4 linked regions of the Stegostoma tigrinum genome follow. The protein of the gene in region 1 binds, or shares a complex with, the protein of each later gene. Links are inferred from orthologs where the notes say so. Each region holds a gene or a part of one and is shown in the gene's direction. Other genes may lie near its edges. The genes, in order: sybl1, stx18, vti1b and bet1l.

Region 1 (7,168 bases):
TGGCCTGGCTCTCCTGCACATTAGTGGGGTCCTTGCTGGGCCCTGGTGCCTTCCTCTTCTCCGGGGGGGCTGGCCCCGCATTGCCCCTGCCGGCGACCTGGGCGTAAGTGGTCCCCTGCTGCAGGCATGCCCTATAGAGGTGGCCCGCTTCCCCGCAAAGGTTGCAGGTTTGCAAGGTGTCCCTCCTCCCTGCAGATGGTGGCTTTGCAGTCGGCCGCCACGTGACCTGACCTACCACAGGCATGGCAGACTTTAGGTTGCCCTGCATAGGTCAGGTAGCCCTTGCTCCCGCCGATCGCGAAGCTGGACAGTGGGTGTACGACGTTCCCGTCCGCGCCCATCCTCAGCGTCACCTTGACCTGCCTCTTACTGGTCCAGATGCCAAAAGCGGTCCATGATGTCAGTTAGGTCCCCTTCCACCTTCACGTATCTTCCAAGGAAGGTCAGGACATCAGCTGCTGGCACACGCGGGTTGTACATGTGTACAGTCACCATACGACCCCCTGCGCTGGCACCACAAACAGCGGGACAGCGGTCAATACAGAGAGGGGGCCCTCACCTCCTTTCTCCTTGAAAACCTCCAGGAAGCGCTCGCAAAGCTTGGCACTCCTGAAGGTCACATTGTAAAAACCTCCTCCGGGGAAATCCTGCAGGCAGTAAATGTCCGCAGCAGCGAACCCACAACAGTCCAACAGGACCCTCTTCATGAAGAAGGTGCGGTCCACAGGTGCACCTTCATCCACCTTCTTTACAGAAACACAAATGGTGTTCCGGACCCCCTGACCTGGGGCACGAGCACTTGCCGCAGCCATCGTTGCAGGTTGGCTGCTCCCCTAAACCAGTGTTAGGCCGAAGCCAGCATTAAGATCAACCGGTCGCAAGGGTGCACAGCCATCCCGACGTCCTTCTTTCACCTCCAACACAGCACTCTCCTCCTCTCGGTCCACAAGAGAGTGGGTCTTTATTTTGTTCCAGATGTAAGCTGGTTCACTGATCTTGAAGGTTTGTTCCCAGATGTTTCGTCACCATTCTAGGTAACATCATCAGTGAGCCTTCGACGAAGCGCTGGTGTTATGTCCCGCTTTCTATTTATCTGTTTAGGTTTCCTTGGGTTGGTGATGTCATTTCCTGTTCTTTTTCTCAGAGGGTTGTAGATGGGCTCCAAATCAATGTGTTTGTTGATGGAGTTCCGGTTGGAATGCCATGCTTCTAGGAATTCTCGTGCGTGTCTCTGTTTGGCTTGTCCTAGGATGGATGTGTTATCCCAATCAAAGTGGTGTCCTCCCTCATCTGTATGGAAGGATACTAGTGATAGTGGGTCATGTCTTTTTGTGGCTCGTTGATGTTCACGTATCCTGGTGGCTAGCTTTCTGCCTGTTTGTCCAATGTAGCAAGACTATGGCAAACACTACATTGGACAAACAGGCAGAAAGCTAGCCACCAGGATACGTGAACATCAATTAGCCACAAAAAGACATGACCCACTATCACTAGTATCCTTCCATACAGATGAGGAAGGACACCACTTTGATTGGGATAACACATCCATCCTAGGACAAGCCAAACAGAGACACGCACGAGAATTCCTAGAAGCATGGCATTCCAACGGGAACTCCATCAACAAACACATTGATTTGGAGCCCATCTACCACCCTCTGAGAAAAAGAACAGGAAATGACATCACCAACCCAAGGAAACCTAACCAGATAAATAGAAAGCGGGACATAACACCAGCGCTTCGTCGAAGGCTCACTGATGATGTTACCTCGAATGGTGACAAAACGTCTGAAAACTAACCTTCCAGCTCAGCGAGCAAACTCACATCCAGAACAAGTTACAATCTCAGCAGCAGATGAGCTGAGGTAGGAGCTGAATCGAGCAGTGCTGCAGAGTTGGAAGGAGACGATCTTCGTGTGGAAGTGAATATGCAGTCAGCTAATGTGCAATCATATTCAACAGTCTTAAACAGTGGCCACAAAGATGAACAGGGTCAATAGCTTGGGAGATGAGATTGTTTGAAAGTTTAAATCTTCATCTCTGCTTACCTCTATCCAACCTGCTGTTTAGTTTAGATTTGAAGAATTCTACCCCATCCTACCAAAACAGTGATGGCCAGACTTACTGACTGATCAAGTGTCAGGAGCTTTCTATGTGACTGATTACATTAAAATGATGAAAGTTATAAGATCATCATCTCGAGGTTGGATCTTCAATTCATGATTAATTGAAAAGTGGTTATGTGACCTGTTCTGAATTGCTCTTGATAGCAAGCATGGATTGTTTGTTTGTTAGAGCAAAGAGGATCCAATTTGCTAAACTGAGAAGGTCCAGACCAATCTACCCAGCAGAAATGAATCTGTCAATTACCTTATTGGTTGGGCAGGCCACTTCTTGTAAAGTCCTATCTGCACATTGCAAATACGCTCTATCCTGCTACATGGCACTACCATTCTACTAAATGGGGCAGAATGGGATAGCAACTCAAAACTAAGCACCTTTGAGGCATAGTGGGCCATCAGCAACTGAATTAAATTCAGCTACAATCTGTAACTTCATGGCCTTGCATAACTCTGCTGTACAATTACTATCAAGCAGAGAGCCTGATTCAATGAAGAGTGCAAGAGGGCATGGCAGGAGCTACACCAGACATATCTCAAAGTATGCAGAAACTACAACACAAGACTACTGCATATCAAATGGCAGAGGCAGCAAATGATATAAAGAGAGCTAAACGATCCTACACTCAATGAATCAAACCTAAGCTGAGCAGTTTTTCAACAACTAGTCAGTAACAGTAGTGGACAACTGAACAAGTGGAGCAATAGGCTCCAAAAACAACTCTTTCCTCAATGAAAGGCAGCCTAGCATATCTATGCAAAAAAGCAAAGATGAAACATTTGCAACCCTCTTCAGCCAGAAGTGCTGAGTACATACCTTATACATCAACATCATTTATATCAGTCTTCAGCCAATTCAGTTCACTCTGTATGATTTCAAAAAACAGCTGACAGCACTGGATACCACAAAGACTATGAACCCTGATGATAGTGCATTGATGGTATTAATTTTGCACCCTTCTTAAAATAGAAAAACAATACTGCTTTGTGGAAGCTGAGAAGAAATACATCTTCTTCCCTGACTTGTACAAAGTCTGAAGGTTTGAGCAAATATTCATGCCTACCCACTTTATTGATCTCTGCAGAAACATTGTCCAACCATACAGTGTTATATTTCATCTTTTGGATAGTCTCTCAGCAAACGTGGGCATATACCCAAAGTTAATCTATCAAACTGTTGGAATCTTGTCTGAAACTAGTAATGCTCTTTCCAAAAATCTTGGGTGACTACATCGTATTTGAGGAGTATATTACTGCCTTCAAGATTGTTTGTTTTTGAACCATTCAAGGTCTAAGGTGGCCTGGAAATGGCTGAGCATGTTAGAGAGGTCGGCATAGCATTGGATTTCAACGGTCTTCTATGCCCACTACTTATTCTTGTTGACAGACATGCTCAGAACTTCATATGTGAGTCATAAGTATTTTTTTCCTGTGATATAAAGTAATTGCTTTGAAGACAGCAAATAATAGTCTGTCTACAGACTCCATATTCTCAGACCTTATCGTTCTTTCCAAACGCCTTCTGAAAATTCAGATCACTTGCATCTATGATTTTATCAATTTTCTCTAGTACCGCCTCCAAAACAAAAACAAAAACAAACAAGGTTAGTCAAGTTAATAAAATGTGAGGCTGGATGAACACAGCAGGCCAAGATGCTGCTTGGCCTGCTGTGTTCATCCAGCCTCACATTTTATTATCTTGGAATCTCCAGCATCTGCAGTTCCCATTATCTCTGATACTAAGGTTAGTCAAGTGCTGGACACTACGAGAGAACGTACTCACCACTTCCAGGACAGGTTTCTGCATCCCTTCAGCTGTTGCCATCCTCACGCTGTCGCTCTGGGGTCCACTTCGACACTGGATGTCGACGCCGGTATTAAACGTCGTTCTCCATGGATGCCGGGAATTGTAGTCTTCGAAGGATAAACGCGCCTGTAAATGTCCGTTACTTTCACGGCTTGAACGACATTTCCCATAATTCGCGTAAGGCTGATGGTTGCGTGCGTTTTGTGAGGAGGCTGGCCGTGTCGACCTGTGCGTGCGCGTGGCAAAGGTATCACCTGACCGGAAGTGTGTGGAAAGGGTGAAGCTTGAGGATAAGGCCCCGGAGTGGAGGAAGCTCAGGGAAGGGTATGGGACAGTTTTTGTTTAATTGTTGCTGTCATTAGGACGTTAGTCGAGCTCGCCCAGAGTTTGTGGATGCTGTTTGTTTTTATGGTGAAGACATGTAACGTCGTAGTGTGGAGCTTTCAGTTTGGGGAATGTTTACCTAGGGAAAGGGCTCAGGTGTCACTGGTGTTTTGATGAGCTGCAGGTGGAGAACTTCAGCTGTGGGCTGTGTTGGGTCGCATCGCTTCTTCCGTTTGTTGTAAGACCCGTACTTGAGTATCTAACGTTTACTGCGAAGCGTGAACGGTTGTTGGTGAAGGAAGCTCGAAAGCGAAATTAGTTGGAGGATCAGTTTGAGACGTCTTGCAAAGACTATTTAGAGCTCTAGGCCACAGTTGGTCACCACGCTATTGGAAGGGTGTACTTGCAGAAATGATCCACTGGGATTGAACATTTTGGCCACAAAGACAGAGTCGCTAAACTCAGGTTATTTACTTCTCAGCAGAGAAGGTTGAGGTGTATAAGACTGAGGAGAAAGGACTTGTTCTCCTTGGTGGCTGGGTTAACAAGGAGGTGTAATCTTTAAGGTAAAAAGTAGGAAGTTTAGAAGGGATTTAGAGAAAAGCTTTTTTGACTGTATGGTGGTGGGGATCTGGAATACACTGTCTGGGATGGCAGTTGAGGTGGGGAAATCTCAACTTTTGAAAATGTACTTGGATGAACACCTTGAAGTGTTGTAATATTTAAGTCTATGGGTCTAGTGTAGATGGTAATAGTGTAGTTTTGGCAGTAAAGAGTTAATGGACCAAAGGGCCTCTTCTGTACTACATGATTCTATGAAGTAAGGTGAACATTCATTTCAATCCTATTTCCAGGCTAGCATTAAAATTGATTCTAAGCAAAGCACTATGACTTTAAAACTTTCTTGTCTGGCTGGCTTGTTCCTTAATCTGTAACTGTGATCCTGCTTTTCTCATTATGATGTCTTGTACTTTTCAGTATGGAGTAAATAGTGTGTTCATAGTGGGAGTATTTATCTTGTTGTAATCTAGTGATTTGAAAGTTGTGATGTACATTTGTATTTTGTATCACCTTTTCAGAGGAGCCATGGCTATCTTGTTTGCAGTAGTTGCAAGAGGCACTACCATCCTGGCAAAGAATGCCTGGTGTGGAGGGAATTTTTTGGAAGTGACTGAACAGATACTATCAAAAATACCATCAGAAAATAATAAACTGACTTATTCTCATGGAAAGTAAGTCCCGAGATCTTTGAGCTGAGAATTTTGTAACTGCTGCTTTCACATGCTGAGAAGTTTTGTTTTGGCATATTTTGAGTTAAAAGCAGAAGCGTCATTTCTCTATGAGTGATATCATGCATGTATGGAAAAGTTGTTCTGGTAATGAACCATTCTTTCTTACATTTATTGGACATTCTGTAGAATAAACATTCACAAGGAAGTTCCTGTAATCTAACACCATTGTGATCCTAGACTAGGGTCCTTCCCCCACCCCCTCTTCCCCCTGCACCTTCCCTGTTATTTTATGGTTAATGAGATTGATCATGTTTTTGTGTCTATACTCTTTGGAAAATAGAGTTTAATGGAATGACTTACTGCCACACAGCCAACAATATGCTGAAATTTGAATACTTGCCCATTTTTGGCAAGATCACCAGATTAATGGGATGACAGGATTGTCATGAAAGATTGAGGAAACTTGGTTTGTGTTCTCTAGAACTTTGGAAATGCAAGAAGTGACCCTTTTGAAACCTATACAAGTCATAAAATGTGACAATGTAGATATAAATAGGGCACCTCCTCTGTGACCTTAGACCCAGGGACAGATCTCCGGCTAAGGAGCACAGCATTTTAAGACTGTGATAAGGAGGAAAATCTTCAAATGAAAGGCATGAGTCTTTTTAGAATTCTCTACTGTAGAGGATTGTGGAAGCTCAATCATAGTGCAGGTTGAACTCAAAATATGTCACTTAAGGGACATTGTGATAGTGGGAAAAGAACTGGCACTGAGATGATTGATCACCTAGGATGGTGAAATAGCTCTGTGCTGAATGGCTCACCCCTTTTCCTGGGTCAAACTAGTTGGGTTACTTATGGATGGAGAGTAAACTTGTTTTAACTCTGTATTTTAACAGTTTCTGTAAAAGAGAGACTTGTCATTGTAGTGCTAATAGGATTTTTCCATTTCTAATTTCAGCTTATCTATGGCTGCCATGTTGCTGCTGACTTTAACTGCATTTATATAATGAACCCAAATTTAATTTTGCATAGGCATTTGCTTGGAGAGATGTCCATCCACATCATCAGAGCTAAATTTTAACTCGTTTAATGTATTCAAAGTTCAAGTTTTTAAACTATAAAAGGCATCAAGGGGTATGAGAGAAGGTGGGCATCTCCAGAGATTAAAGGATCAGCTATGATGTTAAAAAGCAGAGCAGACTTGAAGGGCCAAATGACTGCCAGCTCCTGATTTGTACTTAAATCAGATGGAAGAATACAGAGACAATGCATTGACAATGGCACTGCTAAACCACATTTTAAGCCTGTAAATTTTGCTTTAAAATGCCTTGAATGCCCTATGCCTTGGTGAGATAAAATGTTAATTGTTAATGTGCAATTGCTAATCTGTAACACTGTTTGGATTCAGTAAGTGGAATCTAGATAGGTTTGAGCAAGACTGCTTGTATTGTATGTTGATTTTGTTTGAGAGTTTTGCCTTTTGTAGGTGTAGTGTTACGTAATCTGTTTATGTCACAACTTTGTACCCTACTCCTTCCAAGCTTACAACTGGAATGTAACTAAGGTCACAGTTGTCTTGTTTAGAAAATTATCTGCTTTATTTTCGCTTTGCCTGTACCTTGCATCACCTGATCAATTCTTTTCAAATACAGATCTCATTAACCACATCCACTTAGCACAAACTT
Region 2 (7,455 bases), on another chromosome or scaffold:
GTATAGCAGGGCTCTCCTGTGGTTACCCCATCACAAACAAGTATGTTCTTTTTGAAAACGTAGGGGACAATAGACTCTCAGGGGAACATAGCACTAGCAGACAGGTTTCTGGTACCAAGACTGGCTCGAACATATCAAGGGATATACCGGGTTCCAAGTAATTGTTTGTGATAGGGTACTCACTAGTCAGAGGCATAGCCAGACAACAATGGAGACAACACTGTGGCCGATAGCGAGATGCCTCCCTGGAGCCAGGATCAAAGATGTGTCAGAGAGGCAGAATATTCTCAACAGAGAGAGGGGCCAGTGTGATGTTGTTGAACACCTTGGAATTAACTACATAGATACAGAAAAGGATGAAATTCTGTGGACAGAATATAGGAAGTTAGGCAGGAATATAAAAAGTAGGTCCTCAAGGGTAGTAAGGCAGATGAACTCTGGCTATGATTAGAAACATGGGACTGGGATATCATAGCAAATATGGAGACGTGGCTCAGGGGTGGATAGGACTGACAGTTTAATGCTCCAGATGCTATAGGAAGAATTGAAAGGGAGGTCTCGGCTTCTCACCCTCACTTTCCTAGCCGTTGTTATATCAAGTCTATGAATAAAGATTGGCATGCACGTCACAGCACGAGTCAACTGCTTACTTTGGTTCTCTGTGGCAGTTGCCAACTTCTCCAAGGAGAAGTAATGCGCTAATGTGCCTGACATATGGCAGACATCAAGGCTTTCCATAGTCTGTGCAAAACAGCTCAGAACCCCTAGCATCTTGATCATATGTTGTTTAAACTGCTGCATTTTTGGCAGGCTTCTTTTGACCACTACCAAAGAGCCTGCTTTCAGCATGGGACTCTGCAGGGGGCTATGCCAGGACAGCCCTCAGTGTCAACAACCTTGGTGGTGACAGCCTCTAATAGTTGCTGGGATATGCATTCATTAGAAACTGACCCCAAATCTGAACACAACACATTCATGATCTTGGAGGGTGTACCTCCGCTGCGGAGGGTGAAAGGCAGGCAGGTAACAGTGCATCCTGTAGTGTGGTTGTCCTCGGAGGTGGTGTCTTCACTCTTCTTAAGTGGCTGAGGCCTATGTTCTGGCATGCAGGAACCTGTATAAAGAGAACAAAAACAAACCCTTTAAAACAGAGATTCTGAGCACTACACAATGCACTGTGGTCCCGAGCACCCTTTATGGCTACAGCAGGTCAAGTTCATTCTCCCTCTGAACCCCAGCCACTCCAGCCTTGCCATCAACAACAGATTGGCCTTCTATTCTCTGCAGGACTGCTTTCGCAGCAAAGGCAAGGACCATAAGATTTGGCATACTTCTGCCCATCTTTCTCCTTGCTGTCTGATTATGAATCTGCTTGTCCTTCACAAGAAAGTGAAGAATTAACAAACTGACAAATGCTACCAAGGCCCTACCAGATAATGGTAGCTTATATCAAACTGCTTACTCAAGCTAACCGGAACTAATCTGTCATGCAGTCCGAAGGCAGATCACACATTCATTCTCAACACCTAGTTGCCCACCAAACAAACACATAGCCAAGACAAACAATGTTGCATAACTGAGACACTTATCCAGGTGGATGGGTGGAGATCACTGACCATTTTGTGACACAGCACCTGTGGTCTCTGGCAGGCCTAACCTCTGCAATCTCTCTCTAGGTCTTATCAGGCGTGTAGGTCAGACTACTGTTGCCATTGCTCAAAGTACATCATCCACTATTCCAAATTGGTCTGGATAGGATTTGCAGGATGCATTGGGATGTCTCTGTTCTGACTGGGTGTAAAGGGTTAAATCTAACTGTGATATTTCTGAGAAGACAGTGTACACCATAGGAATTTATGCAATGTTTTAAGAACAAAGTGTCTCCTCCAGCCTCCTGCCAAGATGGAACCATGGTTCGGTCTTTCTTAAATAGAATTGATGTTTTCCTTACTTCAACATGCTCTTGAGGTATTCCTTATCAGCATCTCAAGGCCCAAAACACCAAAAGGGGATAAAGGATGGGGGCAGAGTGGGGGAAGAGAAGAGGTGCACAAAAAAAATGCCAATTTTTGACAAAAAGGAGTAGGAAAAGTGGGCCCTTGATACAGTGTCTCCTTGCATGTCCAGGTGGCTCTGCCACAGTCCTGCTGGACCTGAACCATCATCAGACGAGGTTAGCTTCGAGAGGAAATTTGTCCCCATCCACACAATTGCACATATTTCACATGCCTGCCACTCGTCCTTTAAATATTGATAAGAATCGAGAGAATACCAGCTCCAGGAAAACAGAAATGGGTTAACAAAGTGTAGCGCTGGATGAACACAGCAGGCCAACCAGCATGTTAAGAGCACAAAAGCTGGGAAGGAAAAGAGATGCGGACCGAAGATGGATAGAGAGGGTAGGTGGAAAGGAGTGTGTTTGGGGGTGGGGGGAAAGGTAGGTAGGGAAGGGATAAGTCAGTCTGGGGAGGACGGACAGGTCAAGGGGGCCAGGTGGGGTTAGTAGGTAGGAAATGAAGGTGCGGATTGAAGTGGGAGGAGGGGATAGGTGAGGGAAAGAACAGGTTAGGGAGGCTGGGATGAGCTGGGCTGGTTTTGGGATGCAGTGGGGGGGGGGGGGGGGAAGAGGGGAGATTTTGAAGCTGGTGAAATCCACATTGATACCATTGGGATGCAGGGTTTCCAAGCGAAATATGAGTTGTTGTTCCTGCAACCACGGGTGGCATCATTTTGGCACCGCTGGAGGCCCAGGATGGACATGTCGTCTGAGGAATGGGAGGGGGAGTTGAAATGGTTCACAACTGGGAGATGCAGTTGTTTGTTGCAAACCGAGCGGAGGTGTTCTGCAAAGCAGTCCCCAAGTCTCCGCTTGGTTTCCCCAATGTAGAGGAGGCCACACTGTGTACAGCGGATACAGTATACCACAGTGGTGGATGTGCAGGTGAACAAATGCTTGATGTGGAAAGTCATCTTGGGGCCTGGATGGGGATGAGGGAGGAGGTGTGGGGGCAGGTGTAGCACTTCCTGCGGTTGGCAGTCCCTCCTCCGCACCTACACCCCACCTCTTCCTTCAATACATTGCTGACTGTATCGGCGCCACCTCATGCTCCCAAGAGGAGCTCGAACAGTTCATCCACTTCACCAACACCTTCCACCCCAACCTCAAGTTCACCAGGACCATCTCCAACACATCCCTCACCTTCCTGGACCTGTGTCTCCATCTCAGACTACCACCTACAAACCGATGTCCCCTTCAAGCCCACCAACTTCCACAGCTACCTGGTATACAGCTTCTCCCACCCACCTTTCTGCTAAAATTCCATCCTCTATTCCTTCGCCGCCTCCACATCTGTTCGCAGGATGAGGCATTCCACTCCTGCACATCCCAGATGTCCTCATTCTTCAAGGACAGCAACTCCCACCCCCTTGACCTGTCCGTCCTCCCCGGACTGACCTATCCCCTCCCTCCCCCCCCCCCCATACTCTCCTCTCCACCTATCTTCTCCTCTATCTATCCTTGGTCCGCCTCCCCCTCTCTCCCTATTTATTTCAGAATCCTCTCCCCCTTCCCCCATGAAGGGTCTGGGCCCAAAACGTCAGCTTTTGTGCTCCTAAGATGCTGCTTGGCTTGCTGTGTTCATCCAGCTCCACACTTTGTTATCTCGGATCTACCAGCATCTGCAGTTCCCATTATCTCTAAACATAAACGGGTGCCCACTTCTGCTTTCATCGCCTGGCACCACAAATCGCTGATTAAATGTCACGCTGTTGAGCCCGGAGCGCACGAAACTAACTGAATAATTCTGAGGAACGGCACCTCAGGCTTCCGTTTGGAATAAATTAACTTAAATTCTGGATTCCATTCGGCCTGGAAGCTTGAAATGTGCAAAAGCGTTTCCAACATTGATTGTCAGCCCCCGGGTGAATTGTAATCAGTCACAACATCCTCCGACTCACTATTTACAAGAGACGCACGGTGGGGCGAGGGTCACTAACAGGAAATACTGAGCAAGCTTTTCCAGAGGTGGAATGCAGTACAGGTGATGGTGAGGAGTTAGTCCTGGTCTGAGCGGTTTCCATAAAAGCTGTGATGAAGCCCAGAGGGAAGGGAGTACAATGCTGGAGCTGGAAAAACAGAGCAGGCCAGGCAGCATCAGAGGAGCAGGAAAGCTGGCGTTTCGGGTCGGAACCCTTCTGCAGTGTTATCTCAGACTCCAGCATCTGCAGCTCTTACTATCTCAGAGGGAAGGGAAGTAGCTTTCACGTGGTTTGGTCTCCAAGGCGAACCCGGGCTCATCCAGTAACGACCCGTGGGCGAACCGCCCTGGGAAACCACGAAACCCTCATCGGAATTATTCACCCTCCGCGTTCCCGCCACCTGCTTCACCCGTTCTCCGACGCCGACCGGGTCGCCGCAAGATGACGCCGCCACCGTCGCCCGTGCCCGGGGTGAGGGGCGGCGTCGCGCCGTGATGATCTCTCCAGCGGTGACGTGTCTTCGGTCAGAATGGCGGCCGACATCACGCTCTTGTTCCGAGCGAGTGTGAAAACCGTCAAAACTCGGAACAAGGCGATCGGTGTCAGTGGCGAACCGGTCAGGGAGGAGATCCTGAGGAAGGGGAGGACGAGGGCCGAGTTCACCGCCCGGGCCAGAGAAGTGGTGAGTGCCAGAGAGAATTGAAGCAATGCAGGGGGAGTACGGAGGCTTGCCATTGAACGTTGGGAAGAACAAAAACAGAAGTTGCTGGAAAATCTCAGCAGGTCTGGCAGCATCTGTGAAGAAGAAATCAGAGTTAATGTTTCGGGTCCGGTTACCCTTCCTCAGAACTGTCAACTTAAACAGAGGCCACCGAGCCCTACACCTCTTCAACCCACTGCCTTTATCCGCAACAGATGCGGCAGAGACTGTCTTGCCAGAGTGTCTCACGCTGGAAAGAGTTGTATTTCTGTGGCACCGTTTACTTCTAGCGAACACCACACCCCTCCCCCCACCCGCCGAAAGCGTTTTACAGCCAATGGTACATTTCTGAAATGTAGTCGTTGTTGTGCTGTAGGCAACACAGCGGCCAGCCAGTGTGTGCACAGCAATGTGGTATACGCACAGTAGCTCACTGTCCAGCACGAAAATGATTTGCTTCCCCGTGGTCACCTCTCTGAGAATCACCAGCTATGTGGTTCAGGTGAGCTACTCTGGCATGACAGTCTCTGCCGCATCTGTTGCGGATGAGGGCAGTGGTAGGACTCGGTGGCCTCTGTTTAAGTTGGCCGTTCTATCAGCCAGCCGATCTCTTTGTCTCTGTTAGTTTCATTCAAACAGTCAATCTCCAGAGTCAGGGTTGTTTCTGTATGCCCTTGGAACAGGTGTGGATGGCCCAGGAAGTCATGGTGCTATATAGATAGTTCAGTTTACAGATGATCATTTTCTGTTGAATGTGGCCAGGTCAGCACAGACATTATGTTCCAGACCTCTAAGTTTGTGTCCTTATCCTGCCAAGAGATGCTGACGTTATGTTTGCGACAGTGAAGGTGAAAATTGTTCCACAGATAATTTGCTGGTTACTATGGAGTCTACATATGTAAGACTGTAAACAAACTCCAGTGTCACATTATCAATGCTGATAGATGGCATATGGCGACATTCTAAAAATGATCCTGATACTATTGGCCATACCACCAATTTACAATGTGAGAGAATCTGTCAGAATTCCACTCAAGGTGTTGCTCAGTATGGAATGTTAGTGTAGTATTGTCAGCCTAGAGCAGCTGTGATGAGAGCTTGATGCTTTTTGTCTTAGATCTTAGGTGGGCAAGAATGAGTAGGTTCTGTCAGTTCTAGTATGTAAGTAGGTACTGTGAACGGGTCACCAGCTGGGATATGGCATTAGCAAAAAGGTGTATATGCCAAAAGGTGTTGGTGTCACACTACAGATTTCAAAGAATACCAATCTGACCCTAGCTGACTTTGCTCAGTATTTTGTTAAGGAAATAAGATCTCATTGAGCAGCTTCGGCAGGTGACCAAAGCATAAAAGTTGAACACAGATACCAATAAATTCTTCCCTGCTTCTTCTGAATGGACCTTTTAAATTTCAAATCTAATGATGATCTTGCTTTTTGAGCACCTCTTTGCAACCATAACTTAGAATTCCTTACTGTGTTCAATCATCCTATGATCTTTGTATGTTATGATTTGCGTGTACTGCACCCAAAACAAAATTTTTCACTGTACTTAGGTACATGTGACAATAATATATTCAATTAAATCAGGCAGCACAAATGGCCTGTCTCATCTCACGTGATTGAATGCCTTGGTGAAGTGAAAGTCCTTGATATATTGTTGCCATTGCTTGCGTCATTTCTCTTGCAGCTGCTGGACAGAGAAGGTCTTGTCAATTTTATATCATCCAGTTCGACCCAAATCGTCAAGCTTTCCTGCTCCTCTGATGCTGCTTGGCCTGCTGTGTTCATCCAGCTTCATACCATGTTATTTCAAAAAGATGCATTCAACCAAGATCTGGAGTCTGAGGAAGGCAATGCTAGAAGATTTTTTTTAGCGTGCCACTCAGCAGGAAGATGCTTTTATGGCTTTGCAATTGTTGCAGTTACCCTTGTTCTTATACAGGGTATTAGTCTTAGAATCATGCATATCCTGGGCACTGCCACTTCCTTCCAGCAGATGCTGCAGGAGTGCTGGATTTTTGTGCTTAATTGTATTTAGGTCATGTAGCATAAGCATCTCCAGCTTTAGTCACAGCAAGAAATAGTGTAACTGAGCTGTGGATTCAATATCTGGCTCTGCCATGACAGCAGGCTTTCATGTTGTCTAGACCGTCCTCAGTAACAGTCTGTACAGTTTATTTCACAGTAGCGTTTCAAGTATCTCTCCAAATGTATATTTTGTTCTTGATTACTGCCCCTGTCTTTGCTAACAATGGAGCTGTTTTCTTTGCTGCTTTTTGCCTGCTTCAAATGTGCCTCTGACATTCCCATATCAAAGGACATCTGTCCCTGCTGAAGCCTGCAGTCAGTGTGTTTGTCTAACAGTCTGTTGGACTTTTATTTCGATCAGGTCTTAGTGTAACAGCATATGTTCACTCAGATTTCTGTTGTAGTTGGTGAAACGAAAGGAGCCAGATCACCGCTGTTTTTATGTTGTTTGTCGAGAGATATTTATTGGCTTTGATAGCAGGGATAGCTCCACTGCTTTTTGACCTAGTACCGTTTGTGACCATCTGAGAGAGCAGAGAGAGACTCATTTCAATGTCCAAACTGAAAGACAGCACCTCTGACAATATAGCACTCCTTCAATACTGAACTGGAGTATCAGCCTTGATTTTTGTCTTGAAGACCTAGAGTGGGACTTGAACCTTAAACCTCTGCTTTGAGTGACAGTCCGCCAGCTGAACCACAACTCTTACATTTATATGTTATCGTGAAATCCAGAAGCTGTTCGCAA
Region 3 (7,773 bases), on another chromosome or scaffold:
TTCGAGTCAGCTGAGATACTGTCACCAGATATACAAGATGGAGGCTCACAGGAATTGCTGGCATCTGGTTTCTTGTGGCAAGGAGTAGAATTCCTATTATTGGGGTGAGAATGCATCACAATGAGGCAAGAGTCATTGTCAATAAGACTTATTGAGCATTAATCCCTCTTACTATTCATCTTGCTGCTCCCAAGCAATAATCTCAAAACTGTCTGAAAATTGGCTTGTCTCACTTCTCATGCTATTTTCCAGATTTCTCACCATGGCCAATGTTATTCAGATCTCCGTAAGACTCCCCCCCGCTCGTTCTCTTGCAGCTTGTTCAGTACTTAATTACAGAAAACTGAACATTAGGAGTTCCCAAGCTACATAATAAATAGTGCTGCATTAATAGTTTCCCCCAGTACAAAACCAAGGCTGTGTGGGAATAACACCTATTCTGCCGAACAGAGCGTGGTTAATGGTTAAATGGTTCACGTGGAAATGTGAAATAAAAACCATTTGTAAGATCTGGCTTTGCTGAACAAGATTAGTTTTGCTAATTAGTTTAAAGATCCCGACTGAAAGTAGTTAGGTTCAGGGAGAAGAATTTAGATCGGGTAACACCATTCACAAAGCTAAAGCTTCAAGTGGGGGAACCCCGCCCACGGCCGACGGAACCCCGCCCACGGCCGACGACCTCATCGCTCCGCCCACAACCTCCACAGCCTGCAACCCCAGAGGAGACAGCCACACTGAGCCCTGCCGCATCTTCACCATCCCCCCAGACCTCCCACTGACTGAGGACGAACGGTCAGTCCTTAGCAAGGGGCTCACCTTTGTCCCCCTACAACCACACATCAACGAATACCAGTCACGGTCGGACATAGAGCAGTTTTTCCGCCGTCTTCGCCTCCTTGCCTACTTCTTCAACCGGGAACCCAACCCTCCTTCCACTGACCCCTTCACCCGCTTCCAACACAAGTCCTCCTCCTGGACACCACCCCCCGGCCTCCTACCCTCCCTCGACCTCTTCATCTCCAACTGTCGTCGAGACATTAACCGCCTCAACCTCTCCGCCCCTCTCACCCACTCCAACCTCTCCCCCGCAGAACGGGCAGCCCTCCGCTCCCACCCCAACCTCACCATCAAACCCGCAGACAAGGGTGGCGCAGTGGTAGTATGGCGCACTGACCTCTACATCGCCGAGGCCAGACGCCAACTCTCCGACACCACCTCCTACCGCCTCCTCGATCATGACCCCACACCCGAGCACCAAACCATCATCTCCAACACCATTCACGACCTCATCACCTCAGGGGACCTCCCACCCACAGCCTCCAACCTCATTGTTCCCCAACCCCGCACGGCCCGTTTCTATCTCCTTCCCAAAATCCACAAACCTGCCTGCCCTGGTCGACCCATCGTCTCAGCCTGCTCCTGCCCCACCGAACTCATCTCCACCTATCTGGACTCCATTTTCTCCCCTTTGGTCCAGGAACTCCCCACCTACGTCCGTGACACCACCCACGCCCTCCACCTCCTCCAGGACTTCCAATTCCCTGGCCCCCAACACCTCATATTCACCATGGACGTCCAGTCCCTGTACACCTGCATTCCGCATGCAGATGGCCTCAAGGCCCTCCGCTTCTTCCTGTCCCGCAGGCCCGACCAGGCCCCCTCCACCGACACTCTCATCCGCCTAACTGAACTCGTCCTCACACTCAACAACTTCTCTTTTGACTCCTCCCACTTCCTACAGACTAAGGGGGTGGCCATGGGCACCCGCATGGGGCCCAGCTATGCCTGCCTCTTTGTAGGTTACGTGGAACAGTCCCTCTTCCGCACCTACACAGGCCCCAAACCCCACCTCTTCCTCCGGTACATTGATGACTGTATCGGCGCCGCCTCTTGCTCCCCAGAGGAGCTCGAACAGTTCATCCACTTCACCAACACCTTCCACCCCAACCTTCAGTTCACCTGGGCCATCTCCAGCACATCCCTCACCTTCCTGGACCTCTCAGTCTCCATCTCAGGCAACCAGCTTGTAACTGATGTCCATTTCAAGCCCACCGACTCCCACAGCTACCTAGAATACACCTCCTCCCACCCACCCTCCTGCAAAAATTCCATCCCCTACTCCCAATTCCTCCGCCTCCGCCCCCACGATAAGACATTCCACTCCCGCACATCCCAGATGTCCAAGTTCTTTAAGGACCGCAACTTTCCCCCCACGGTGATCGAGAACGCCCTTGACCGCGTCTCCCGCATTTCCCGCGACACATCCCTCACAGCCCGCCCCCGCCACAACCGCCCCAAGAGGAACCCCCTCGTTCTCACACACCACCCTACCAACCTCCGGATACAACGCATTATCCTCCGACACTTCCGCCATTTACAATCCGACCCCACCACCCAAGACATTTTTCCATCCCCTCCCCTGTCTGCTTTCCGGAGAGACCACTCTCTCCGTGACTCCCTTGTTCGCTCCACACTGCCCTCCAACCCCACCACACCCGGCACCTTCCCCTGCAACCGCAGGAAATGCTACACTTGTCCCCACACCTCCTCCCTCACCCCCATCCCAGGCCCCAAGATGACATTCCACATTAAGCAGAGGTTCACCTGCACATCTGCCAATGTGGTATACTGCATCCACTGTACCCGGTGCGGCTTCCTCTACATTGGGGAAACCAAGCGGAGGCTTGGGGACCGCTTTGCAGAACACCTCCGCTCAGTTCGCAACAAACAACTGCACCTCCCAGTCGCAAACCATTTCCACTCCCCCTCCCATTCTCTTGATGACATGTCCATCATGGGACTCCTGCACTGCCACAATGATGCCACCCGAAGGTTGCAGGAACAGCAACTCATATTCCGCCTGGGAACCCTGCAGCCATATGGTATCAATGTGGACTTCACCAGTTTCAAAATCTCCCCTTCCCCTACTGCATCCCTAAACCAGCCCAGTTCATCCCCTCCCCCCACTGCACCACACAACCAGCCCAGCTCTTCCCCCCCACCCACTGCATCCCAAAACCAGTCCAGCCTGTCTCTGCCTCCCTAACCGGTTCTTCCTCTCACCCATCCCTTCCTCCCACCCCAAGCTACCTACTAACCTCATCCCACCTCCTTGACCTGTCCATCTTCCCTGGACTGACCTATCCCCTCCCTACCTCCCCACCTACACTCTCTCCACCTATCTTCTTTACTCTCCATCTTCGGTCCGCCTCCCCCTCTCTCCCTATTTATTCCAGTTCCCTCCCCCCATCCCCCGCTCTGATGAAGGGTCTAGGCCCGAAACGTCAGCTTTTGTGCTCCTGAGATGCTGCTTGGCCTGCTGTGTTCATCCAGCCTCACATTTTATTAGCTTCAAGTGAAACACCTTTGATCCAATAAGGAACTAATCCTGAAAAGCAGTGACTGAAAAATCAGCCGAAACAGCAAGTAGCCAAAGTGAGAGGTATCTGAAATCCCAGTTCATCCCCTCCCCCCACTGCACCACACAACCAGCCCAGCTCTTCCCCCCCACCCACTGCATCCCAAAACCAGTCCAACCTGTCTCTGCCTCCCTAACCGGTTCTTCCTCTCACCCATCCCTTCCTCCCACCCCAAGCCGCACCCCCCGCTACCTACTAACCTCATCCCACCTCCTTGACCTGTCCGTCTTCCCTGGACTGACCTATCCCCTCCCTACCTCCCCACCTACACCCTCTCCACCTATCTTCTTTACTCTCCATCTTCGTTCCGCCTCCCCCTCTCTCCCTATTTATTCCAGTTCCCTCCCCCCATCCCCCTCTCTGATGAAGGGTCTAGGCCCGAAACGTCAGCTTTTGTGCTCCTGAGATGCTGCTTGGCCTGCTGTGTTCATCCAGCCTCACATTTTATTATCCCAAACTCATGATCTGATTATAAGTCCATGCCTTCTGCGTGCAGTACGTTGCAAATGTTGTACAATTACAGGGCAGTGGTTTCTGCGAACAAAAGATTGATTATGTAAATGACCACTTTGAAGGGTTTTATTTTTACAAGCAAAGTTTTATTCGGGTACAGAGAGAATGGGCTGATTTACTTAACCGCAGCAAATGTTCAGCCAAGAAAACAAAAGATGGTTAAAATACACCGGCAAGATGTACTTTCCTGCACAATCAATTCGAACGATTCCTCAAGGTACTTTGAAAATAATCTACAAAAGCCCAATTATTTTGCTTCTTATTCAAATAAACAGATTTCGTAAAACTGTATTCTGTATTGCGTGTTAGTTTAACGAATACAACTGAACTCCCAATTTGTTCGTGACAAATTGTAACATTTTTTCAAGGGGCTGGAACCCACATTACTAAGTAAAAGCCTGCTTACAGTTTGTAAAATTACATACAATTTAACTTTATCTTTACAGAGCCAAGAAGGGCTTCGAATTCATCCTTAGGCGAAAATACTGACCTGATATATGGGCCAAATGCTGCCAGAAGAGCAGCAATTGCAGAGATCCCAATGATGGTGAACAAGACCGGCATCTTCTGCAGGAAAGGGCTCGGCCAATCCCCGGGGAACCAGAAGCGGCTGGGACTACAACCCCCAGAATGCACGGGGCCACGCGGTCCGTCTCCGTCTCCTTCCCCCAACCCCCCGGGGCTTAAGAGACTCGGTTATTGCCCCTTTAGCGGGGAGATGACGATCTGAAAATGGTGGCTGAAGCAGTAAGTAACGATGTTGATAAAACCTCAGGATTTTGTGGTCGGGGATGGGGGATGTTGTTGTGTGTATATTGTCATGTGATTGCGGAAGGAGGCGGGGCTTGAAAAGTCGGACGTTGTGTCGCTGTCGGCTGTTTGTTTTGTACCAGATCGAGATTTAAATCACTTTAAAGATGTCATCCGAGGAGTTTGAGAAGATGCACGAAGCCTTTGGTAGTGTTTTCGAGGAACTGAGGTGTCAATGTGAGCGCCTGCCTAGATATTCAGGAGGTGAGACTGAGAAATGCTGCTTTTTCTTTATGAGGTTTGAGCGTAGGCCATTCAGTCCTTCGAGCCTGCTCTACCATTCAATGATATCATGGCTGATCTGACCCTTCTTACGAGAATTTCCCATTTGCTCCCCTTTAGGGAGACATTCCCTCTCACTGTGTACAGCATGTAATCAGCCCTCACCTCTATATGTTCTGCGTATAGCCCTGGCCTGTACTGGCCCTGCGTAGAGCACCAGTTTGCATGCTGTAAAGTCCAGCAATGAACACCCTTTTGGACTCCAGTTCCAGTTCAAAACTAGCTGTCACTGTAACTTTGTGAAATCATCAACACTGAAAATGATAGCCAAAACAGACGGCCCTTCCTCTCACTGGCATCTTTTCTCTGCTTTGTGATGATACAATGGCTTAAAAGGTTTATTTTGTCCTGTTTTTCTTTTATAAAGGAAGGTTGAGACTTAGGTGCTCAGTGGTCTGCTCAAAGATAATTAAACAGCTTGTGAGGACTTGGGTGTTTTTTTAAAGTTGGAGCAATAGAAGCAGGCTGAATGGGTCGGGTTCAACTCTCTCAGAACCAGGATTTTTAGTTTTAGCTTTCTGCAGTTGCTTGGGTCTTGTTGTTAGAATTGCATGTGAGACGATCTATTTGACTGAGTTTACCTTTCTCAACAGTATTTATGGGATGTTACTATATTTGGACAGTTAATTAGTAGTTAATACGTACTTTATTATTTAAGGCATTTTTATAGAGTTACAGTTAAGCCAATTCTTTCCTTTTCTTTTTATTTTGTCTGGACTTTAACTGTAGTGTAAAAATAAAGCATGTTTTCCTGAAAGTTGAATAGTTTGACCAATCGCATTGCATCTGGAACACAATGCCTTACACTTGCCTTTTTAAAATAAGAAAAAGTTGGGGTAGGCTATCTTATCAATATATTTTAAAGGGGTTTGGTCTGGCCGATAACACCTACAAACCATCTCTGACTTTATTATTTATAACCCCGAGATGGGTGAGATACTAAATGAGTATTTTGCAACAATGTTTACTGTGGAGAAGGATATGGAAGATAGAGAACTACGGGAAATAAATAGTGATATCTTGGAAAAGGGCTCATGTTACTGATGAGGTGGTGCTGGATGTCTTAAAATGGATAAATTCCCAGGATCTGATCAGGTAGGCTAGGGAGGTGATTGCTGGGCCCCTTGCTGAGATATTTGTATCATTGATAGCCACAGGTGAGGTGCCAAAAGACTGAAGATTGGTTAATGTGGTGCCAGTATTTAAGAAAGGTGGGAAGGAAAAGCCAGCGAACTGTAAACTGGTGAGCCTGACATCGATGGTGGGCACGCTGTTGGAGGGAATCCTGAGGGACAGGATTTACTAATATTTGGAAAGGCAAGGACTGATTAGGGATAGTCAACATGGCTTTGTGCGTGGGGAATCATGTTTCACAGACTTGATTGAGTTTTTTGAAGAAGTGACAAAGAGGAATGGTGTATATGGTCTATATGGGTTTCAGTGAGGTGTTTGACAAGATTCTGCATAGTAGACTGGTTAGCAAGGTTAGATTACGTACAGGGTGAACTAACCATGTGGATACAGACTGTCTCCTACCTTTGAGTCAGAAAGTGGTGCTGGAGGGTTGCTTTTCAGACTGGAGGCCTATAACCAGTGGTGTGCTGCTTTTCATTATTTTTATAAATAATCTGGATGTGATGCCACCAAATTCGTGTTTAGTGGACAGCCAAGAAGATTATTTCAGAGTACAACGGAATCTCAAACAGATGAGCTGAGATGTGGCAGATAGAATTTAATTGAGATAAATGTGAGGTACTCCTTTTAGTAAGACAAACCAGGGCAGGACTTACACACCTTAACAGTAAGGTCCTGGGGAGTGTTGCCGAAGAAAGAGACCTTGGAGTGCAGGTTCATTGTTCCTTAAAAATAGAGTTGGAGGTAGACAGGATAGTGAAGAAGGCATTTGGTACACTTGTCTTTATTGGTTAGTGTACTGAGTATAAAAGTTGGGAAGTCATGTGTTGGCTGTACAGGATATTTGTTAGACCACTTTTGGAATGCTGTATTCAATTCTGGTCTGAGATAATGAGAACTGCAGATGCTGGAGAATTCAGGATAACAAAGTGTGGGGCTGGACGAACACAGCAGGCCAAGCAGCATCTTAGGAGCACGAGCTGACGTTTCGGGCCTAGACCCTTCATCAGAGAGGAGGAACGGGGAGAAGATTCTGAAATAAATAGGGAGATGGGGGAGTCGGACTGAAGATGGATAGAGGAGAAGATAGGTACAAAGAAGAGTAAGGGTGAGGAGGTAGGGAGGGGATAGGTCAGTCAGGGGAGGATGGACAGGTCAAGGGGGCGGGATGAGGTTAGTAGGTAGGAAATGGAGGTATGGCTTGAGGTGGGAGGAGGGGATAGGTGAGAGGAAGAACAGGTTAAGGAGACAGGGACGAGCGGGGCTGGTTTTGGGATGCAGTGGGGGCAAGGCAGATTTTGAAGCTGGTGAAATCCACATTGATACCTTTGGGTGACGGGGTCCCCAGCGGGATACGGTTGCTGTTCCTGCAACCTACGGGTGGCATCGTTGTGGTGCTGCAGGAGGCCCAGGATGGACATGTCATCTGCGGAATGGGAGGGGGAGTTGAACTGGTTCGCGTCTGGGAGGTGCAGTTGTTTACTGCAAACTGAGCGTAGGTGTTCTGCAAAGCAGTCCCCAAGCGTCCGCTTGGTTTCCCCAATGTAGAGGAAGCCACACCGGGTACAATGGATGCAGTATACCACATTGGCAGATGTGCAGGTGAACATCTGCT
Region 4 (7,844 bases), on another chromosome or scaffold:
TACATGGTAAAATGTCCAAGAGAGCATTATCAAATAAGATTGATACCATGCTGCCGGAGCTATTAGGGCAGGTGACATTTGTGTCAGTTCCATTTTTATATAAGCTAAAAACATTTTAATGGTCATTATTTTTCCTAGAATTACTAAATATGTTGGATGCAATTTTACAAACTGCTAGGATGTTATCTAAACTACTGTGTTCTTGGACGGAGCCTCTAGTGTGACCCCTCTACATTGATAACTCTCAACAATCCAATCTCCATCCCAAACCCACCCCAACCCTCAACATCCTGATTCCAATCTTCATCAAAATCTCTCTACACTCTCTCTTCTATCACTATACTTCTCTCACTCCTCCCTTCTGCCAGCAATATTCAAGCTAAAGAAAGAAAAATGCATTTGCATATTGGCTTTGCAGCTGTTATCCTGCTTTTGGTTGGAAGTTTAACAGAAAGTGAATTGTCACCATTGATTGAAGTTCATACATTGAATAACTACGCAAGCTGCTCCAAGTTTGAAATACAAATCAGAAAGCCAGAATGCAGGTTTCGCATAGGCACTCTGTCTGTACCTGGATTGCAGAGATCAGCAATTCCACCCACAAGCCACTCACACAGTCCAACTCAAAGATTTGTCACAACCCCAGCTTTAACCTTCATGGCACATAGATCAGACCCTAAGCTTCTTCACCACGTGATGGGGCCTTCAGGGTCCCAGACAATCAGTCTACCAAACAACCTCTCTCAAAACCCTGACCACATACTCCCAGAACTCCCGCTCTCAGTCCTTGGCAGCCCCATCACAAAGCCACTAAAACACTCTCAGAGCCTAGGATACCAACTTCCTTCCTGAGATAAAAACCAAAAGAACTGCAATGCTGTAAATCAGGATCAAAACCAAAGTTGCTGGTAAAGCTCAGCAGGTCTGGCAGCATCTGTGAAGGAGAAAACAGAGTTAACATTTCGGGTTGGAACTGAGGAAGGGTCACCGGGCCCGAAATGTTAACTCTGTTTTCTCCTTCACAGATGCTGCCAGACCTGCTGAGCTTTTCCAGCATCTTTTTCTGTTCCTTCCTAAGTTAATGGTTTTCCAGAGTCCCAGCCACCCAACCAACTCACACCTAGAATCACAGAATCCTGGCAGTGTGGAAGCAGATCATTTAGCCAATCCAGTCCACACCAACCCTCTGAAGAGCATCCCACCCAAACTCATCCTCCTAACCAATACTCCTGCATTTCCCATGGCTAACTCATCTAGCCTGCACATCTTTGGACTGTGGGAGGAAACCCACACAGACACAGGGAGAATGTACAAACTGGAGGCAGACAGTCACCCGAGAGTGGAATCGAATTCCAGTCCCTGGTGCTGTGAGGCAGTAGTGCTAACCGCTGAGCCACCATACCATCCTCACCAGATTTGCACAGACACTTGTATTTACAAGCCCCCATGAACCTCAAAAGATTGCCAGATACAGGACTCAAACACATCAAACTGGAACCAAAGCACTGGATCATAGCTTCAGGCCCACTGGGACTTCTGAAGCTCCTCAATTCCGGAACAGCTGGAGGTGAGTGGTGATGAGGCAAATTTCCTGCAGCAATGGCAGGGGTACTTAAGGTGCTCACTCTACACTGGGAAGACGAGGGAGGAAGAGGTGCTCAAGGGGTAGTGAAACGATTGGGAGGGGGAGGAGAACACTGAGGGGGCGGGGCCTGTGCATGGGGGCGGGGCACAGTCGGGAACACGGCTTTGGTATTGGCTGGTTTAGGTTTAACGGTAAATCCCGGGCCTGGGCAGGCTGCAATTGCTTTCCGGAGGGAGGAAGGCTGCAATTGTTGCTGTTTACTGGGTAAAGCGGGTTTGGCCTTTGCCCTTGGCCCAGGTGCCGCTCAGGTCCAGAGAGTTACCCGATGTAATCCAGCTCCATTACCACATTCGATCAGAGTGTCCCAGGGCCCCGGTGTTCTGTTGACACTCACCTCCGTGTTATGAAGTTGGAGCGCTGCAAGCACTATATCTTGATCCTCGCTCTCGATCTGTTCGATCAGCCGACTCAGCTCCATCCCCAGTCCGGAGCGGCGCAGCGCACATCAGAGCCACCTCCAGCTCTACAGAACCGCCCACGGTGTCCGAAGACCCAAAAGCCCGCCCAGAGCAGAATGCTTCTTCCCATGGACACGGGCCCCGCCCACTGAGGGAGAGAGGATCGGCCTGGAAGGTTATGCCCCGCCCACAAAGGGCGTCCGCCTGTGGGCCCTAACCACACCCATATTTGTAGTCTGGCCCCGCCCACTTAGTTTGACACCGCCCTACGGATACCGGCCAGGCCCTTCGGTTCATGCCCGCCCACAGAGGTAGAGCCCTCCTATCGGGACCCAATCGAAGCCACAGAGACAGAAAGCGTACACGGAGGGAGACCCCGCCCAAAGACCATGTCCCCGCCCATTAAGCCAGGGCCCGCCCATAAAGGATGCTGGACACAAACCCATCCACAGAAACGGGACTCGTCCGAAGTGAAAGGTCCCGCCCATGAGCCTAATATCCCCGCCCATAGAGGCCGCCCCCTGTCACGAGGCTGGCACCGCCCACAAATGAAGACCCACTCACCAATACAGTCCCCGCCCGCTGAGGCAGGGGACGCCCACACACCTCAGACCTACGACTATTATAACTAATCAGCTTTTAGAACTTTCCTGCTCCTCTGATGCTGCTTGGCCTGCTGTGTTCATCCAGTTTCACACCGTGTTATTTTTAGATATATAATGTTTGATTAAAATTGCTCCCCTCCCTTCCCATATAGTTTGTTCAAGGGTAAGTTTACAATATATTATCAATAATTTAGAGGAAGGAAGCAAATGTACTGTAGCCAAATTTGCTGACTACACAAAAATGTGGAAGGCAAACTGCAAAGCGGATGCAAACAGTGTACATATTGTCATTTTTAAAATTCATTTATGGTGTATGGGCATTACTGGTTGGCCAGCATTTATTGCCCATCTCTAGTTGCCCTTGGGAAGCCGGTGGAAGCCGAAGGTCTTCTTGAACTAACTGCAGCCCGTATTCTGTACACATCAATCCACAATGCTCTTAGGGAAGGAAATACAGGATTTTGATCCAGCAACAGTGAAGAAGCGACACCATATTTCCAAGTCAGGATCCTTCCTCAGAAGGATCACCGGACCCGAAATTTTAACTCTGTTTTTCCGTCATAGATGCTGCCAAACCTGCTGAGCTTTTCCAGCAACTTTGATCTTTGATGCATGTCTGCAGTGCACCTTATAGATGGCACATATTGCTATTACTGAGCATCAGTGATGAAGGGAGTGGATGCTTGTGGATATGGTGTCAATCAAGCAGGCTGCTTTGTCCTTGATGGTGTCAAGCTTCTTGATTGTAATTGGAGCTGCATCCATCCAAGCAACTGGGAGAATTCCATCATGCCCCTGCCTTATGCTTTGTAGATGGTGGTCAATGCAGTGAGATATGCTGTGTTAATCTCAGATTAAGAGGTCTCCTCAACACTTGCTGGAACGGGAGAACTCATGGTTTTTGACAGCCTTTTCAACTGTTTCAAGAAGAAGGGCATGTTTTGCTCCCACATCTTTTGTGACATTGCAGCTCTCATATGGTCCACGTGTTTGTCAGGACCATCATTCCTACATGAACTTTATACGTCACCACTCCTGGCCTTGCATCGAGGCTGGCACATCTTACCCATTCAGGGCCATTTTCAAGGTTCCTACATCAACATTTGTCCCGTGAAGTAAACTGTCTCTCTCACTTGGTGGAGCGTGGCATCCAACACTGGCGTTTCTGTTGCTGTTTCACATGCATCCCACCCCAAGTCCGGGAGGATCAGATTTAACCTGGTGCAGAGTCTTCACCCCATTAGCAACTGTTTGGAACCATCTTTATAAATGCATGAGGAGTGGTGCTTTAATCAAAGAGGAACCAAGACAGTTTGGTCTCTGGTGAAGCTGTATACTCTTTCTTCAAACCAGCCTTGACAATTTGGACTGCTCTTTCTGCCAGGCAATTAGATGATGGATGGTATGGAGCTCTCCTTATATGTTGAATCCCATTCAACTTTAAGAAATATTCAAATTCTCTGCTAGTAAACATTGGCCCATTATCTGTGGCCAAAACTGCTGGAGTCCATGTATTGCAAAAGATGCACAGTTTTTTCTCTCACTGCTCCTGTGTTTGACAAATGAACACTATGGATGTCTAACCACTTTGAGTGGGTATCTGCAATGACTAAGTACATTGAGCCATAAAAAGACCTGGATAGTTGACATGTAACCAACTCCAGGGTTTAACTGGCCATTCCCATGAGTCGCATTCAGCATGTGACTCATATTTATTATGTTATTCCAGTCTTTTGATTTGTCTCCAGTACCACCTTATTTTTAGTTTCTTGTATTTGTATCTCTGCCTCATTTAATCAGATTATAGGTCATTTGCTTTGCTTGATATTCAGATGTTGACACTTTACTCAGACCAGAAGGACACTTTTGATCTGCTGCAGATTTATTATTCGACAACTCCACTCGCACCATTTGTATGATCTTTTGATCTCTCGGCTCTTGATCTGTCTGCCTATAAATTTTGTGTGCTTCTCTCTCACTTCACCTTATGAAGGAGCTTCGAAAGTTTGTGATTTCAAATAAATCAGTTGGACGAGAACCGGGTGTCGTTACTTCGGATTTTGTCCAGCCCATCCCACCAGCACTTCAGCATTACGTTGCGTAGGTAATCCCACCTCTCTCGTTGATGGACAGGTGGCCCCACCTCTCCGGGTTGATGGACAGGAGGCCTCACTTCTCACGGATTGAAATGCATGTAGCCCCGCCTTTGCCGGTTTGATGGACAGGAGGTCCCACCCTCTGCGTGAATCCCGGATGCTGTGGCCGCAGAAATGGCGGAGCGGAACCGAGGTGAGAGAGAGAGGGAGGCAGAGGGCTGGAGAGTAATTCAGCTTGTGGGCCGGTGTGAGGGTGACTGAGATCGGGCACTTACTGAATGTTGTGAATATTAAGAACGCGGGTTTGAGCTGATGTTCTAGGCCTTCAGCTCGGTACGTGGAGAAAGAAGGAATCGCGGATGCTGAATAACCAACTGAACAGATCCAGGAAGCCGTGAAACTTGGACATTATCCCTACATTTATCAATGCAGACATTGAGCACAACAGTTAATCATATTAAACGTTTATAAATTACTGGTTAGTTGACAGTTGTGTCATTAATTACCTAGGATATACTGTCAGTGCTCATGCTCCATTTGAGCCTCCTCAATCCAACCAGTGGAGCCCTCTAAAACACTTCTTCGTCCACCTGTCCATCTTCGCATTAAATGAATCCACGTAATTTGCTTCAGCTATATATTCTGTATTCTGTGTTGAGAACCTTATTCTGAGTTTCCCTTTGTGATTCTTGGTGATCGTCTTAAGAGGAAACAATTTCTCTGTGTCTGTTCTGACAAAAGCTGTCATAATTTTAAAGGTGTGTAATTAGGTCTTTTCAGGAAACAGAGGAGTTTCAGCCTATCAATACTTTGCTCATGCTAGCATCTATGTAAATCTTGTTTACACATTTGCCTGTGTCTTTAGAACATTTCTGTTTTACTGAGGTGACCAGACTGCGTGCAGAACTATCTAACCAAGATGGAGAGCAAGATTGATGAGCCTAAGATGGCCTGCTCTCAAGATCTAAGTTTGATACAGGTTTAGGGTAGTTTAAACAGTCCTACTTTTTAAATTCAATTTTTCTGCAAGTAAAATGAGGTGTTTGGTTTATATTTTTGTCATCTTGCTTGGCTGTGGCATGTTATTTAGTTCTGAAGTAGGGTCACTGGACTTGATGTTAAGTCTGTTTTCTGTCCACAGATGCTGCCAGACCCTCTGATTTTCTCCAGCAATATCTGTTTATGTCTGTTCCACAATATGTAGTGTTTAATGTAGTTGTGTGTTGATTGTTTTGTTCATCTACCATGTAAATTAAGCTCTTCTAATTAAAAATTGATCACCCCATTCTTCCTAGCAAAACATGGCATCTAACTTTTATTTGTTGAACTTCATTTACCCAATATTTGTCTATACTGTAATTTGTTGCAGTACACTTCACAATTGACTACCCTCCCTCCACATGAATTGGGTTATCACATGTGAAGTTAGAAATTGATACTTTGATTCCACAGTCATTAATGTACGTTATGATGAGTAGTGACCCCAGGAATGTTCCTTGTGAAACACAACTTCCCATCTTCTGTCACTCCTTTACTCCCATTCTTTGCTTTTATGTCTTGCAGACAGCTTAGAATTCATTCTACCACTTGTCTCTGGATTCTGTTCTCTGACTTTATTAATCTATTGTAAAAGACCTTTTGAAAATCAAGATAATTACATCTGTATTACTATTGCCTCCTCTCCATTGCCTTGCAGACTTCATAAGGTTAAGTTAACAAGACTTTCTCTTTTAAAATTCATGCTGACTGTTCATTAGCATATTTCTTGTAAATATCCTACTATTCTGTCCTTCTGTAAGAATTACATTATTTTCCAACCACTGGTGTTCATCTGATTGGTCAGTAATGTCCTGAAAATGTCTTGGCTTCTTTTTAAATGTAGGAGTCGCATGAGCTATTTGCCAGTACTCTGGCACTGTACCTTTTCCTAACAAATGATTATATGTGACAAGTAATTCTAGACACATTAACACCAGGGACTTTATTCTCTTTTGAATAAAGTTAATTTGTCATCACCCTTCTCACAATTAAGTATTATGTCTACCTGTTTGCATCTGACTGATCAAATACTGAATCAAAATAGTTATTTAAAATTTCTGCCATCCCTCTATCGTTAACTGTTACCATTGTCTTTATATTATCTCCTACCTATCCCTTATGGTCCTTTTCTCATAAAACTATTTTTTAAATGATATAGCTGTAATTTGCTTGGTTTGCTGCTCCTCTAATTGCACAGTTTCTCATTGTTTTCCTAATAATTTTTTTTGACATATTTTCTACTTTGTTTTTGTACTGCCTCTTCTAATGTACCTCAATGCTGCTTTTCTGTGTTCACAATATATATTAATGATTTAGGTGAGGGAACTAAATATATTTCCAAATTTGCAAGTGACACAACAAGTTGGATGGGAGAGTGAACTAAGAGGATGATGCAGAGATGCTTCAGTGTGATTTGGACAAGTTGAGTAAATGGGCAAATGTTTTGTAGATGAAATATACTATGGAGAAATGTGAAGTTATCCATTTTGGTAGCAAAAACAGGAAGGCAGATTAATATCTTAATGATGGTAGATTAGGAATGGGGGAGGTGCAACTAGACCTGGGTGTTTTTTGTATTCTAATTGCTGAAAGGAAGCACACAGGTGCAGCAGACAGTGAAGAAGGCAAATGGTATGTTGGTCATCATTGTGAGGCGATTCAATTCAGAAGTTGGTATGTCTTGCTGCAATCACCCAGAGAGTGGCTAGTCTGTGAAATTCTCTGCCACAGAAAACAGTTGAACCAAAAGATTGAATGATTTCAAGGAGGAGCTAAATGTAGTTCTTAGGGCAAAAGAGATCAAAGGGCATGGGGAGAAAGTAGGATCAGGAAATGAGTTCTATGAGCAGCCATGATCATAATGAATGGTAGAACAGACTCAAAGGGCCAAATAGCATACTGTTCCTATTTTTATGTTTTTTTTAATTACTTGAAGCCTCCTTCCTAACCCTTTATTGCCCATCTTGAATTGTCCAAAAGAGGTAGTCGTGAGCAGCTTTCTTGAACTGTTATTGTCCTTGGGGTGAAGTACACCAAAAGTGCTGTTACAGAAGAAGTTTCA

The links.
Region 2: sybl1 (region 1) and stx18 share a complex: the UniProt entries of both Homo sapiens proteins name them as parts of the SNARE complex. The link is inferred for Stegostoma tigrinum from reciprocal best matches to the Homo sapiens genes VAMP7 and STX18.
Region 3: sybl1 (region 1) and vti1b share a complex: the UniProt entries of both Homo sapiens proteins name them as parts of the SNARE complex. The link is inferred for Stegostoma tigrinum from reciprocal best matches to the Homo sapiens genes VAMP7 and VTI1B.
Region 4: sybl1 (region 1) and bet1l share a complex: the UniProt entries of both Homo sapiens proteins name them as parts of the SNARE complex. The link is inferred for Stegostoma tigrinum from reciprocal best matches to the Homo sapiens genes VAMP7 and BET1L.

Annotation. Positions count from the first base shown.
Region 1 is NC_081368.1:48,299,388-48,306,555, reverse strand, and holds the start of sybl1 (vesicle-associated membrane protein 7), read left to right. Parts: upstream 1-4,137; 5' UTR 4,138-4,248; intron 4,249-5,327; 5' UTR 5,328-5,334; coding exon 5,335-5,480; intron 5,481-7,168. Other genes in the region: polr1d (DNA-directed RNA polymerases I and III subunit RPAC2), read right to left, coding at 3,901-3,942. UniProt on the Homo sapiens protein: Involved in the targeting and/or fusion of transport vesicles to their target membrane during transport of proteins from the early endosome to the lysosome. Required for heterotypic fusion of late endosomes with lysosomes and homotypic lysosomal fusion.
Region 2 is NC_081354.1:17,153,073-17,160,527, reverse strand, and holds the start of stx18 (syntaxin-18), read left to right. Parts: upstream 1-4,454; 5' UTR 4,455-4,507; coding exon 4,508-4,660; intron 4,661-7,455. UniProt on the Homo sapiens protein: Syntaxin that may be involved in targeting and fusion of Golgi-derived retrograde transport vesicles with the ER.
Region 3 is NC_081363.1:69,072,966-69,080,738, reverse strand, and holds the start of vti1b (vesicle transport through interaction with t-SNAREs homolog 1B), read left to right. Parts: upstream 1-4,747; 5' UTR 4,748-4,849; coding exon 4,850-4,946; intron 4,947-7,773. Other genes in the region: rdh12 (retinol dehydrogenase 12), read right to left, coding at 4,423-4,496. UniProt on the Homo sapiens protein: V-SNARE that mediates vesicle transport pathways through interactions with t-SNAREs on the target membrane. These interactions are proposed to mediate aspects of the specificity of vesicle trafficking and to promote fusion of the lipid bilayers.
Region 4 is NC_081370.1:34,967,600-34,975,443, forward strand, and holds the start of bet1l (BET1-like protein), read left to right. Parts: upstream 1-4,827; 5' UTR 4,828-4,918; coding exon 4,919-4,937; intron 4,938-7,844. Other genes in the region: ric8a (synembryn-A), read right to left, coding at 1,980-2,063. UniProt on the Homo sapiens protein: Vesicle SNARE required for targeting and fusion of retrograde transport vesicles with the Golgi complex. Required for the integrity of the Golgi complex.